Linked DNA regions of Arabidopsis thaliana. The protein of the gene in region 1 interacts with the protein of each later gene in a pairwise test. Each region holds a gene or a part of one and is shown in the gene's direction. Other genes may lie near its edges.

Region 1 (3,757 bases):
TACAGATCTTCTTGGGTGGTTACAGGTTGTTCCATAATGGCAGATACTTGGACCAACACAGAGGGCAAGAAAATGATCAGTTTCTTGGTCTCGTGCCCTCGTGGTGTCTACTTCCACTCCTCGATTGATGCCACTGATATAGTAGAAGATGCTTTAAGCCTTTTCAAGTGTCTAGACAAACTAGTTGACGACATTGGCGAGGAAAATGTGGTGCAGGTTATTACACAGAACACTGCTATCTTTAGAAGTGCTGGAAAATTACTTGAAGAGAAGAGAAAGAATTTGTATTGGACTCCTTGTGCAATACATTGCACAGAACTGGTTCTTGAAGACTTCTCAAAGCTAGAATTTGTCTCCGAGTGCTTAGAGAAAGCCCAAAGAATCACAAGATTCATTTACAATCAAACATGGCTGCTTAATCTTATGAAGAACGAATTCACACAGGGACTAGATCTTCTTAGACCAGCAGTCATGCGCCACGCTTCCGGGTTCACCACTCTTCAAAGTCTTATGGACCACAAGGCCAGTCTCAGAGGTCTGTTTCAATCTGACGGCTGGATTTTGTCACAGACCGCCGCCAAGTCTGAAGAGGGAAGAGAAGTGGAGAAGATGGTGTTGAGTGCTGTGTTTTGGAAGAAGGTTCAGTATGTTTTGAAATCGGTTGATCCGGTGATGCAGGTGATTCACATGATCAATGATGGTGGCGATAGACTATCTATGCCATATGCTTACGGTTACATGTGCTGTGCGAAAATGGCGATCAAGTCTATTCATAGCGATGATGCAAGGAAATACGGACCGTTTTGGCGGGTGATAGAATACCGTTGGAACCCATTGTTTCATCATCCTCTCTATGTGGCTGCATATTTCTTCAACCCGGCATACAAATATCGTCCTGATTTTATGGCGGTAGGTATGATTATCATTCATTTGAATCAATGACTAAAAGCTTTCTGCCATTTTCCTTACATTTGCTGTAAATGTGAATGAATCTGCAGCAGTCTGAGGTTGTGCGTGGAGTTAACGAATGCATTGTTAGGCTTGAGCCTGATAACACGCGTAGAATCACAGCATTGATGCAGGTGAGACAAAAAACAAATCACCAAGTCACACACATTGTTCTCAGAACCTGAGGTTAAACCAACTTTTTGTTGAAATGTTTTCAGATTCCGGATTATACTTGTGCGAAAGCTGATTTTGGAACGGATATAGCCATTGGCACAAGAACAGAGCTTGATCCATCGGCGTGGTGGCAACAGCATGGGATAAGCTGTTTGGAACTCCAGCGAGTGGCGGTTCGGATACTGAGCCACACTTGCTCGTCTGTTGGGTGTGAGCCTAAGTGGAGCGTGTACGACCAAGTTAACAGTCAATGCCAGAGCCAATTTGGGAAAAAATCAACGAAAGATCTAACATACGTTCATTACAACTTACGGCTCAGAGAAAAACAGCTGAAGCAACGGCTACATTATGAGGATGAACCACCACCAACTCTTAACCACGCTTTGCTGGATCGGTTGCTCCCTGACTGGCTCGTAACATCCGAGAAGGAGGAGGTACTTAACTTACTTAAAGTGAGAAACGCTAAACGCCATTCCAGTGATTTTATAAAAGGCTAATAAATGTAGTTTATTGGTGAAGGAGGAGGCTTTGCACGGGGAAGACAGAGCAGAGAAGGAAGACCATGAAGACGATGAGGAAGAGGAGGAGAAGTTTTACATGGAATCTGGTAACGTTGACGGTGAAGGTGAAGACAACCTTGATCCTTACGATGATGATCTTAGTGACGATGATTAGTTAGTGCTACAATTCTAACGAAGTAACACTGTATTTTGAATTCTAGCATTGTATCCTTAAAATATTCGAAAAATATGAAAATTTTGTTGGCTAGAAGAATATAATCAAAGTATTATTAGGTGAAATTAGTGAAAGTGAAATAATTTATCTAACAACGGATATGGATGGGACCAAAAAGTTGGCGCCTCGCTGTCATTTTTTTAACTACCGAATATCTGTCTTTTTAATTTATTTATTAATCAATTTTGTTTTTAAAAAATATATATGTTTGAATAAAAAAGAAAAAAACAACACACACCTGACAGCTCTCTTTCCCTTTTCCCGTTCTTTGTCGTCCTTTGTTTCGTCTTTCATTCATTCTCCTTTGTGTTTTCTCTTTTTGGAGATTTTAACTTCAGTTTTTGTCTAATTAGGGTTTTAATTTAAATTGGAGGGAAATTTTAGATGCAGTGACGTAGTTTTTGGGTAAATTTTCGTCGGATTCTGAATTGTCTCCGGCGACATGGCTTCTAATCTCCCCATGAGCCCTCAATTGGAGCAGATCCATGGCGAAATCCGTGACCATTTCCGAGCCCTCGCGTATGTTTTACATGTTATCCTCTTGTTCAATTTTCTAACTATCTCTGTCGTGGTTACGAAACACTGTGATATATATTTTAGGGTTTTGGAATTTTTTGATTATGTGTGCTCAATAGGATTTATGCGTGTTTTGCTTAATGCTGATGATAAGAATTAGATTTAGTCATCACTCAAAAGATTGTTCTTTTAATGATTCACCATTATCTGTTTTGCAGGAATGGTTTCCAGAGGTTGGATAAGATTAAGGATTCAACTAGACAAAGCAAACAACTTGAAGAACTTACTGACAAGATGAGAGAGTGTAAAAGGTATACTTATTTCATAATTGCTATGCTTTACCATTATGTTCTCGGCGTTACAACATTGTTTGCTAATTGCCTTTAGTAGAATGTGCTCTTTGATCACTGTTATGCGTACTTCTTTTTCTTTGAGCTGGATACGATGCCGTATAATGAGAATTGAGAAGGAAAGAGTATTGATGTGACAAATCCATGATTCAATAATCTGTATTTGCTTGTCTAATGTGTACTTCATGTCAGATTGGTCAAAGAGTTCGACCGTGAACTCAAGGATGAGGAAGCTAGAAATTCTCCTGAAGTAAATAAGCAATTGAACGATGAGAAACAATCTATGGTGAGTTTTTATCCTTTGTTTATTAAATTCATTGAGGCCTTTCTTTGATTATACTACAATGTCATATGTATCTGAAGTAAATATGTGAATATTAACTCTTACTTGGCACCTTCGTAAAGTTCCATTATACAGCATCAGTCGTATTCAGTTTGGTCAATCTTTAGGTGTGTTTATAACCGAATGGATATATTAAGGTGGATATTGAGTGTCATTGTGTATCTATCACTCCCCTCTGTACTTTGTATCTGCTAACATTTTGTTTGTATGAACTTTTTAACATCTGTGTTTAACTTTTTCTTTTGTATAATGTTACAGATCAAGGAGCTCAATTCTTACGTTGCTCTAAGAAAAACGTTAGTATTTCTATCATTCCTCTTTAAGAAAGCTGATTATTTGAATCTCAACCTGTTCTTTTAGGGTTTTGATTTCATATCGATCCGTTCAGAATATCTATATAGGATTTCATTTGACTTTTATGTGTTCATACATGTGAAATTGGTCTTGAATCTCAGGTATATGAGTACCCTTGGCAACAAGAAAGTTGAGCTTTTTGATATGGGAGCTGGAGTTAGTGGCGAACCTACAGCTGAGGAAAATGTTCAAGTGGCTTCATGTGAGTCCTTATGCATTCTTGTCTTCAGTTGCCACCAAAATATGAGTTTGCTTAGAACAATTAGAGATTGACATGCTTGAAGTTTAGACTTTTTAATGCTATATGTACTTGAATATGTTGGATTGGTAACTAATG
Region 2 (3,757 bases), on another chromosome or scaffold:
ATGAGAGAAAGAATTCAAATAAATACTAAATTGTTATTGTAACTAAACCGGCAGGTGACGGCTGATTACGGTCGGAGAAGGCGGCAGTAGTACCGTAGTGGGACCCACGGTAAGTAGGTATTTTATTTATTGTTTATTTTTCCATATTTTCTTCAATAGTCTTTTTCTATTATTATTTATTGTTTATTTTTCCATATTTTCTTCAATAGTCTTTTTCTATTATTATTTATTGTTTATTTTTCCATATTTTCTTCTTTAGTCTTTCTCTATTACTATTTGACGGAACTCTTTGAATGTCTGGTCGTTACAAGCTTAAGTTGTGTCCCCACATGGAAGTTATTCGGTTGGGTCCATCGAAGGAAAATTGATTGAACCGGTCTGGTCATTCTCTCCCAAACTATAGAACCAATTTCGGTCTGCATCGGAGTTTCGAAGTCGCGGACTTATCAGAGTGGGCTTTTTAAGGAATGTTTTTAGAATATTTACCAGCCCAATCCCATTTTAAGTATGTCCAGATCTTAATTTGGCGAGCCTTTTTATATATGGTGAACAACTGATTCTAATGTGTATGTTTCACTTTTATTAGAGAAAAAATGTGAAAAGATTTAATGTGTATGTTTCACTTTTATTAGAGAAAAAATGTGAAAAGATTCTTAAAAGTATTTATTTATGCTAATTGGCAAAACTAAAACATCAATTTATGTACATCATTTTAGTTCTTCCTCTAAGATTTGATTGATTTGTATTAATGGCTCTGAATACTGATACTAGTTTCGTTGGCAAGTAAGATAAGTGATAACTTTGATAAAGAGTGTCAAATTACAAGTGCCACAATTTGGAGTACGTAACCAAATTGACATAAAACTTGAATAGGTGAAAAAACGAGCCAGAAAAAAAACGAATATCTTCTGCTTATCCGAATAAAACGAAAGTAATATTCTTACAAGATCCTTCCTTATGAAGTAGTGCCAGTAGATATTTTTATCATTGTGATTGCGACCTGTTTGTTGCGATTCATTTATGCCAATTCACGTTACTATTTATGTTGTGATAAAATCTTTTATTTTTCTTCTTCTTTCCAAATACTTAAGTATGCATGATTATTGATCCGTACAAGCATAAACGAAGAGCTATAAAGTCTCCAACGGTAAACGTACGTGAACCAAAATAACAATTCAATATTATGGTTCGAATTATTCTGTGTATTTTATGTAAGAAAATAACCAAAACCGACTCGAAACAAAACAAAAAAATCTTCTGAAATGTGAATCTTTATTTCGGAAAATTCTTAACGATAGATAGTTTTTGCTTTAAAATTAAATCCAAACATAAACTAGAACTGAAATTCAATTCGTTGTCAATATTTTCTATACAAAAAAAAAAAAGAAATCCGACCAAATAAACAAAACCATAAATAGACATCTCCATTTTTAGTTGAAAGATGATTAAATGCAATAAATGTGCCACAATCATAAATTTTTCCTTTTCACCTAATTGAAAATTTTAATCATTAATAAGAAGAATCCATGGAGCACAATTATTTTATTTTTTATTTTTTGCTCTCATATGGTATGTTAAATTAATTTTCCCTTAATTTAAATTCCCCATATCAAATAAGTTTTTTTTTTTTTGAGAAAGACTTGATTTCATAGGAGAAATATTTGTTAATATTTTCGACAAAACATTTTCTCTGTTTGATGTATTTCCATCCTCGTACAATAAATACTCTAGCTATTAAATTCTTAGCCCAAACGAAAATAAAGAAAAATAAAAGGGTCCTACTAATAAACAAAACAAAACTAGTGGTCCCAATTTGAAATATATAAAAATATATAAAATTCATAAAGCTTTGTGGCTTCAGAGCTTCCACTTCCATCGTCGTCTTCTATTTTTTCTTCTTTCTTCGATTTCATACCAAAACAAGAACTCTCTGTTTTCGACAAAAACGAAACCTTGAGATCTATTTTGATTGACTTTTAAGAAAGAGAGAGATCTTTCTTAGAAGATTTTGTCTCGTCGGCATTGAAGATCCAGGTAACAAAATCTCACCTTTTCTCTCCTAATTTCACGAAATCGAAGAAAAATTCTCATAATTCTCTTAATTACTTATCTCTCAATTTCTTAAATCTTACAGGGTTTGTCTTTCGAAATTCAGGTAATTTTCTCAAATCCATTTATGGATTGAAGCTTTAGGTAATGAATGAGCTGAATCTGCATATAAAAATCGATACTTTCATTATCCAGAACAAAACAAGATTTAGCATAAACGTTCAAAATTGAAACTTTGATTCCTAACTTCTTGGAATGATTCAGATTGAGCTAGATTTAGATCTGTATGATTGATATTATGGGTTTGGTTTGTTTATGAGTAGAGAGAAAATGGGTGATGAGGCAGAGATCAAGGAACATTTAAAGCCACAAGCTTCATCTGAAACAATGGACAAGAAACATAATGTGAAAGGGAAGAGGTTATGGCAGAAAGTCAAGTATCAATTGGTGGAGTTTCATTCATTGCCTGCTTATTTAAGAGACAATGAGTACATCATTGGTCATTACCGATCCGAATGGCCGATCAAACAGATTCTTCTCAGCATCTTTACCATTCATAATGAGACTTTGAATGTTTGGACGTAAGTGTTGAATCATGTTTCTTGATGTATCCTTGTTTAAAGTTCAAGAGCCTTGAGTGTGTTTGTGTGTGTGTGTTCTTTGGGATTTGCAGGCACTTGATTGGGTTTTTCCTGTTTTTGGCGCTCACTATATACACTGCAACGAAAGTACCGAGTGTCGTGGATCTTCATTCGCTTCAACACCGTTTACCCGATTTGTTGAGGAAAACAGATCTCCACAAACTTCATTCTGAGCTCATGGCTCGCCTTCCTTCTAGTCCATCTAGTTGGCATGTGATGGACCTTCTTTATAACTGTTTGCCTGAAAGATTTTCTCATGGCAACTACACTGACATGTGTGTTCTGGTAAGAAAAGACTCAATCTTTCTCTCTATTCCTGCAGATTACTGTTTCAAAATGTGGCCAAGTTCATATCTTTGTAATTGCATTGCAGCATTCTGTGAGGGAAGATCTTGCAAACTTGATAGCTCCTTTGATCTTCAGGCCAATTACTCGATGGCCGTTTTATGCATTTCTAGGTGGTGCTATGTTCTGTCTATTAGCAAGCAGCACGTGCCACCTCCTCTCATGTCACTCCGAGCGAGTCTCCTACATAATGCTTAGGCTTGATTACGCCGGCATCGCAGCTCTAATAGCGACTTCCTTCTACCCTCCGGTTTATTACTCCTTCATGTGTGATCCTTTCTTCTGCAACCTCTACTTAGGATTCATAACCATCTTAGGAATCGCCACTGTGCTTGTTTCTCTCCTCCCGGTTTTCCAAAGCCCGGAGTTTCGGGTGGTGAGGGCGTCTCTGTTCTTTGGAATGGGATTCTCTGGCTTAGCTCCGATTCTTCACAAGCTGATAATCTTTTGGGACCAACCTGAAGCCCTTCACACGACAGGTTATGAGATTTTGATGGGTTTGCTTTATGGGTTAGGAGCTCTGGTTTATGCAACTAGGATCCCAGAGAGATGGATGCCGGGTAAATTCGATATAGCAGGACATAGCCATCAGTTGTTTCATGTTCTGGTTGTTGCTGGTGCGTTCACGCACTATAGAGCTGGGCTAGTGTATCTTAAGTGGAGAGATATTGAAGGATGTTGAAGATGAAGATTGAAGATTAGATGGAATCTTTGAATCTTGT

Evidence for each region.
Region 2: the proteins of NPSN13 (region 1) and HHP4 interact in a protein complementation assay, tested with the Arabidopsis thaliana proteins (one large-scale study listed by BioGRID).

What each region holds. Positions count from the first base shown.
Region 1 is NC_003074.8:5,970,833-5,974,589, reverse strand, and holds the start of NPSN13 (Putative plant snare 13), read left to right. Parts: upstream 1-2,017; 5' UTR 2,018-2,299; coding exon 2,300-2,376; intron 2,377-2,591; coding exon 2,592-2,684; intron 2,685-2,915; coding exon 2,916-3,009; intron 3,010-3,324; coding exon 3,325-3,362; intron 3,363-3,521; coding exon 3,522-3,622; intron 3,623-3,757. Other genes in the region: AT3G17450 (hAT dimerization domain-containing protein), read left to right, coding at 1-909, 999-1,082, 1,167-1,556, 1,642-1,797. UniProt on the Arabidopsis thaliana protein: Vesicle trafficking protein that functions in the secretory pathway.
Region 2 is NC_003075.7:17,698,852-17,702,608, forward strand, and holds the start of HHP4 (heptahelical protein 4), read left to right. Parts: upstream 1-1,782; 5' UTR 1,783-2,034; intron 2,035-2,134; exon of another isoform or gene 2,135-2,155; 5' UTR 2,156-2,364; coding exon 2,365-2,630; intron 2,631-2,722; coding exon 2,723-2,975; intron 2,976-3,063; coding exon 3,064-3,717; 3' UTR 3,718-3,757. UniProt on the Arabidopsis thaliana protein: May play a role in abiotic stress response.